Arabidopsis thaliana: one gene and its partner. The protein of the gene in region 1 interacts with the protein of each later gene in a pairwise test. Each region holds a gene or a part of one and is shown on either strand. Other genes may lie near its edges.

Region 1 (4,190 bases):
TTAATTAGATGCTAGTAGAGAAGATTGGACTAATATTTGAGCTAAACTGGGTATCATCAATAAGTTCTGGGTCTATTTAGTATACATATTAAGAGTTATAGGGCTACTGTGAAATTTATAAACAATTTTGAGGACTTACAGGTCAAGATTCTAAGGAAAGAATCATACTGGTACAAGAACGTTGGATCAGTTGTGGCCGTTGATCAGGTAATGCATTTACTTTTGAAGTTAACGATCTAACGGTTAGATATCGTTTCATCTTATATTCCGGTCTAAATTGTCAGGACCCGAAGACCCGATATCCGGTTGTGGTCCGGTTCGCCAAGGTGAATTACGCGAATATATCGACCAACAACTACGCATTGGACGAGGTGGAAGAAGTAAAATGAGAGACATGGTTTATCTCTAAACCGGTTCGTCTGTTTGTAATCTTAAACAAAACCGTATGTACCAAAAAGTTAACCAACAATTCATCTTTTATCTTTTACAATCTCAAGATCGATTTCCAAATATGCATTTAGCCACCCAAAAATGATTGCAAATTCCAAGTAGTGTGGATCAAACTCAGCAACTCCGGTTTAGTAACAGAACCCAGCATGACTCATTGACTGTTTTTTGTACGTAGAAAGAAACACAAGATTCTTATTGAAAATCTCTATATAGACAGTAAATTCAAACAGCAAATCATCTCGACTTCAATAAGGAAACATGAAGAATCACCAACCAGTTTCATCTCTAGAAATCTCTAGGTCTGACCGTTTTTTCCATTGGCTTCAGCTAAAATTGCTTCCAGCTCTCCTTTATTGTGCAGCTGCAATGTATCTGTTCAACAATAATGATATGCAGGTCAAGTTACCAGAAAAATCACAAGACATTGAGCAAGATCTTGAGTACTATCTATCTTGGTGCCAAAATACACAAAGACGATCTCAATTACATATTAGAAAAATCTCGGTGTTGAGGTAAGAAAGGAAGAGAGATTGTACCTGAGCAGCCACCAATGTGCTTGCCTCCTGGTCATGAACAAAAACATGATATCAAAATTAGATAAGTGATGGTCATAGCAAATGTAGTGGCTAAGATTTTATCGATAGTTTTGTTTTCAGGCAAAATAATCAAGAAAAATGATCAGAGTATAGTTAGTAACTGGCTTAAATGATGAAACAACTAACCGATGAAAACATTGGGAACAGTGTATTGTCCAGTAATTTTCTCCAACACATTCTGCAGCTGCGACCCTTCTGAACCTGGAAACGCCAAAAACCACCAAAACTTTTGTAAATGTTTCAGACCAATATCATGAGGCAGAGATGTTTTACCCAAAGAAACTAAACAAGACAAGAAAGAACAAATGGTTTTGGAAAGTCACCAAATCTTGACACGAGAAAAGATAACTAAGAAGATAGCAACATAATAGTTTCTAACAAATAGAAGCATACTGTCTAAGATTCAAAGGCAGGAAAGAATCTTCAATTTGAAAAATTTAAGCCATTAGAAGTACTAGCCTACCCGTTGATTCTTCATCAACAAGTCATTGGTCCAAGGAAAACTACAGTGGAAGTAAATTTTTCACATAAACAAGACACAGAATCTCTGAAATGTAAAGCTATCTTAGGCCATTAGAAACCCCCCTAACCATCATCAATCCTCCATCAAAATCTAATCAAAAAACATACAAACCAATTCAAGCAAGCAGCCAAATGAACCAGAAGATAAACAAGAAGAAGTTGGAAACAAGTATTAATTTCATCCAGTCAAAATGCTGAAACATTAGGGCACTTGTAACCAGCTCTTCCTTGATCGATATAAACAATATCACACACATTATCAAAACCAATATAGCAAACTACTCAGACCCATATAGCAAACCAAAGTAAAGAATTGAGCATACCAAGTTGATCCAATTCAACAACCAGTGGCTCAACTTGAAGACTCTTGAACAAGGACTTCACTTGAGACGAGTATCTTCACCACCAAAAAGAACAAACCCAGTAAAAGTATCAATATTGACAAACTAGATCATAAATTAACAAAACCCATTCCTCTAATTGAACCAAAAAGTATAGTGAACCTACGAGCACCAGGTTTTGGAGTAAACAACGACAGGGTTCTCTGCCACAGTCGTTTTAACAGTCTCCTCCAATGTCGATCCAGACGAAGACGATGATGAAGACATAGCCTTAACAGAAGAACAACGGAGTGGTGGCCACGACGCGATTCCGATAACTGTCGGCTTTAGACATCTCCTGAAAGGTAACATGCCCAAGTTTCTGATTCCGCTTAACATGGAGAAAGAGATTGCTGGATTTGAATTTAACGACGTCCATGTCATGTTCGCGAGGTTTACTGTTGCGGCTACCATGGCGATTTCTTCTTCCGACGAAATTGGATGCTTTTCTTATTTTTGCCCTCAGATTAATTTACCTCTTTTTATATCGCCGATATTTTTTGTTCTTTATTTATAAATATCAATAAAACAACTAAATATTCATAAGAATTGATTAAAATTCTTTGTTTTTAATACATTTCTGTAGTTTTTATTTTCTCTAGTAAGTTTACGACCTTTTATTTACACATCATGATAAAATTAACAACAACAAAGAAAGATGAAAATGATTGGACAAAAAAGATACTACTAGTTCTTTGATGAGGCCATTTAAGACTGTAAAACAGTAACAGAAATTATTCAACACCCCAAAATGGGGTTTGTGTCTGCAAAATCCAATCTATTGAAAGTACACAAAAACAAAACATGTGCTTTCTCTCCTCCACCTCTTCCTCTTAGACCATTTTTCATTTCAAGATGACCCTTCGTCGTTTGGCTCACGAATCTGGATCGATGTTTTCGACAAGCTTGCTTCCAATTCATCCAGCTCATCCATGTCTAGGTCATCATCATCATCATCGTCATCTTCTTCTTCTTCATTGACTTCTTTCGAACTCTGTTCAGCATCACCACTACTCTTGCTTGTCCCTGCCTCTGCTTCTTTGTTCTTTGCCTGAAAAGCAAAAAACTCAAGATTCCATTAACATGACTTGGTTGTTTTAAATGATGAGTGAGTGAGAGAGAGAGAGAGAGAGAGAGAGAGAGAGAGAGAGAGAGAGAGCTCACCTTTTGTTCAGTCTCTTCCTGCTCTCTTTCCCTCTCGTATTCTTCACAAGCCTCAGCATCATCCACAAACAAGCTTGCATTGGACAGAAACAGCTCCCGACCACTGAGGTTACAAATCCACACAATGAATCAGCTTCCAAGGACAAAAATAGAGTCACACTGGAGATGGATATGTAACAGAATGATGAATGGGGATTACCTCATACGGTCGTTCTTAGCTCTCTCCGCTTGAGAAGCAGCCAAACCGGCATCTCTCTCAGCAATTTTCTTCCTCTTCCATTCCATAAATAGTGCAGGAGTCATTTGTGTTGCGGTTTGCAGTTTTGCACGCTGAAACATAGAACAAGAAAACATGGGTCTCACAAATCAAGTACCGGGTCCTAGCAGCTATGAGGGAAACTTGAGGAGTATTTTAAACCTCGTTTTCGATTTCGTCCTCAACTGCCAGCTTCTTCGATGACTCCTCTTCCAAGAGGGCTTTCATTTGAGATTTAAGGACATATCCAGGAGGAAGCGCGTGTCTGTAATGACACTCTTTGCCACCATTGGGGCATGACCAGAACCACCCATACTGTTTCTTTTCCACAGCATCCAGAAAATACTTGCAAACCTATTATTTTTCAGTAAACACAAAAACAATTACAAGTCAATAAAACTCAGCGAGACAAATAACTCATGTGTTTAGGATAAGTTTATGAGATGATTATTGAGATGAGACGCAGAGATATTATTTCTTTTAGCATAGACGTATATAGTTAAGAAACATTTATTTCAAAATTATGATTAGCACTAACATCACCAAAAGCATGAGTTCTTGTCAGGCATGAACCAAGTGCGCAGAAAAACACAAGGGAACAACGGGAGGCATAATAACATCTAAGACCCTAATGGCTCTTAATATGAACCGTGCTATTAGCTAAAGGAAGCGCATCGTAAGGCGAATGCACATCAGCTAAAGGTTAATCACAGCAAGTGCAACCAAAACTAATGCATCACTTCACATAATACACGTTAAAAGGCTGTATATTTGAACACAAACCAGTTCAGACATTTTCACAGTGCATTAACAAGAGAAAAG
Region 2 (3,125 bases), on another chromosome or scaffold:
AAGGAACACTTTCCAGTCAAAAAACAATTCCTCAAAAGAATCAAACTTTTTAGTGATATTAGTTAGATGCCACAAGTGCCAATGCCGTGATACCCATTTTCTCAAATCCAGTATAACACACAAAACAATCAACCAATCATGATAGGCCACCAGATAATAGTAACGCCAATCCTAAACATGAAACCGTAACTTTTTCCCGGGTAAAAAAGGGAAAGAACAAAAAGAAAACAGAGATCAGAAGAGAAGAAAGCTAGATTTTTTTAGATCAATACATGCAAAAGAATTATAAGAAACGTTTCATCATCATATAAACCAATATAAACCGAATCAACATGAAGATAAAAACTCACGAAAAAAGAAAGAGGGATTGAATAAGCTTCGAGATCACCGATTAGATATAGCTAACAAAAGAGCTTCCAAGTTCCAGATAAAGAATCTAAACATATAAAGAGAGAGAGACACGAGCATTGCCTGTTAAACTCGATGCACAGACAAAAACTGGACTTATTAAAAATAAAATATATTGATAACGTATATAAGTGTATGTATATGCGTTGAAAGAGAGAAAAGAATGAAGGGAGGATGCAGCGGCGGTGACGGGTTTTTGCGGAAACCGGAAAGTGGTTTTTTTGGTTTTACGAAAGTACCCTTCCCACTGAGGGACGTGGTAGTGGCAATTCTCGTAAATGTGAGAGTGTTTGAGTCCCTAAAGTAGAGAGTGTGATCAAGGATCCACGTCAGATCCGAATAGGATGTAGGACCTACTATCGAAAGCTGCAGCTAAAAACGCAGTGATATAGATGCGTGTGGTCGAATGCAATCTTACGTTACTGCAAAATTATTTATTTTATACTATTTTGGATTACGTCTACAATAATTTGTTTATTCTGTTTTTATCCATAACATTTTAACTTCATATGTTTCCTCCAAATCTATTTACCTGAATTTTGTTTTTCGAAATATATAATTTACCAATTAATATTAGTTTTCTCAACATCTACACTACCAAAGGATGCTACAATGTAAAATATTATACACAGGAACAAAATTAGCATATTTACAATTTAATCTGCACGATTGTTTGTCTATAAAATTTGAAGGATATAATCAATTTCTTCTTTTAGTTCCGTAGATTTTTTTATGATTCATTAATGAAGTTTAGACCAGAGATTAGGATCCTTAAAAAATTTGGATGAGCAGCTTAGAACCACTTTAAAAATTAATTTTGTACATCCAAAATTATCGAAACAAACTATTACCCAAATCAAAGATATTGCCTTTACTTCAAAAACTGATTACAGTTTTGGGTATGTTTTAGCACTATACCATCTTATTCTTATCATACCATGATCTTCTTGGAGAATTCATCTAATACTATTTTGGTCATAAATCAACATTTCAAAAAATATCCACGTTACAATTGTAAATTGTTATTACTTAATTATGTCTTAAGTTTTTTAACCACACCAAAAAAATATTAAATCATATACACAAACATTTTTCGAATGTATTTGTTATTTGATTTCTCACACAAATGTGAAGAAGTATGAGGGTGTTTCGATACACTTTTAGAGTTTGTTTGTTTTTTTGTAATTTTTTTCTCACAAATGTGGGGTGATGTTATTATATTTGAAAATTTGTGGACCTTAATGCAAATAACGCCTCTAATAGTAGATTCGTGAAGATGATAAGCTGACAAAACGACAGCGTCTAATATAGTTTCGAGTTTCTTCGACAGTGGCAATGTTTTCATCTTCGATTAGGTTAATCGTATCTGGGTTCCACCGGACTCAACCCCTAAAATCGCCGGTAAATTCTCCGAGCGTCTTCATCTCCGTACCTAAATTCTTCAACTCTGAGTCAAAATCGACGGGAACTGGTTCAAGATCCGTAGCAATGAGCAGCGTTGAGAAAACCGGGTCGGATTCTGGAGCAATAGAGAATCGAGCGAGCAGGATGAGAGAGAAGCTTCAAAAAGAGCTCGAACCAGTGGAGTTAGTGATCGAAGATGTTTCGTATCAGCACGCTGGTCACGCCGGAATGAAAGGTAGAACCGACGATGAGACGCATTTCAATGTGAAGATCGTTTCTAAAGGATTCGAGGGAATGAATTTGGTGAAGAGACACAGGTTGGTCTATCATTTGCTCCGGGAAGAGTTGGATACTGGATTGCACGCTCTTTCTATCGTCTCCAAGACGCCGTCTGAGTCTCCTTCTAAAGACTAGTGTACTGGTACTGTTTAATGTATCTTCTGTTTCTGTTATCAGAGTTTCTCATCAAACTCTGTTCGATTCAAAGATTGAATTTTTACCATCAAAGTGCTCTGTTTTGGAATTTATTGCGGAGCCAAAGTCTTCATTTTTACATACGCTTGAGGTTGTGTGTTGGTGTTTCTGGAATTGTGTGTTGGAACAAAGACACTTGCTTTTAGTTCAATTCGAGTTCTGTCTTTTCTAGCATTCAAAACTATAATGGTCATAGCTTGATGAATTGAATTAAGGCTCCATTTAGTTGAAAGTCCAATCAATGGTCATGTGTTTGAATTCTCAAAGGAAGCTCGATTGTGCCGTGTTTGTTAGCTTGGAGCCAAAAGGGTTGTTTTTCCATGTTTCTGTCTCTTTCTTCTTCAGATTATTCTCCCATTGTCATCAATGGCGTTTGCGTCTTCTAATCGCTAACGCTAGAAACAAAACGCCTTTTCCAATAGTCCATGTCACCTTCCTTTAGCAACAAATATATGTACTTTATGGGCTTAAACCAAATCTAATCAGTGATCACCTTTTTCTTTTGTGGGTAAAGTGAATCGTCATTTCCATTGTCTGGAGAAGCTAAACCGTCCCTCTTCTATACATCAACAGAGCAAGTTACGTTAGTATATGTCCGAAGATAAATAAAACGAAAAAAAAACAACTTTCCAAACTATCATCATTTTCACTACATTGGCGATGAGGGAGCTCTCGGAGCTTAACAGAGACAGAGACGGTGATGAAGAAGTGTGGGTCAAACACTATTCATCCAAGCACCAGATACTTCTCGTAGGCGAAGGAGATTTCTCCTTCTCTTGCAGCTTAGCCACTTGCTTCGGCTCTGCTTCCAATATCTATGCTTCCTCTCTCGATTCATA

The links. Proteins that work in one complex are often made in the same cells at the same time.
Region 2: the proteins of AT2G20270 (region 1) and AT1G55805 interact in a two-hybrid assay, tested with the Arabidopsis thaliana proteins (one study listed by BioGRID).

Annotation. Positions count from the first base shown.
Region 1 is NC_003071.7:8,737,256-8,741,445, forward strand, and holds AT2G20270 (Thioredoxin superfamily protein), read right to left. Parts: upstream 2,406-4,190; 5' UTR 2,363-2,405; coding exon 2,076-2,362; intron 1,966-2,075; coding exon 1,892-1,965; intron 1,329-1,891; coding exon 1,173-1,328; intron 1,014-1,172; coding exon 987-1,013; intron 823-986; coding exon 746-822; 3' UTR 531-745; downstream 1-530. Other genes in the region: PSAE-2 (photosystem I subunit E-2), read left to right, coding at 142-207, 285-389; AT2G20280 (Zinc finger C-x8-C-x5-C-x3-H type family protein), read right to left, coding at 2,799-2,999, 3,113-3,215, 3,312-3,442, 3,531-3,722. UniProt on the Arabidopsis thaliana protein: May only reduce GSH-thiol disulfides, but not protein disulfides.
Region 2 is NC_003070.9:20,858,057-20,861,181, reverse strand, and holds AT1G55805 (BolA-like family protein), read left to right. Parts: upstream 1-1,698; 5' UTR 1,699-1,743; coding exon 1,744-2,226; 3' UTR 2,227-2,572; downstream 2,573-3,125. Other genes in the region: AT1G55803 (ferredoxin-fold anticodon-binding domain protein), read left to right, coding at 2,947-3,125. UniProt on the Arabidopsis thaliana protein: May act either alone or in interaction with glutaredoxin as a redox-regulated transcriptional regulator, or as a factor regulating Fe-S cluster biogenesis. The glutaredoxin-BOLA1 heterodimers bind a labile, oxygen sensitive iron-sulfur cluster.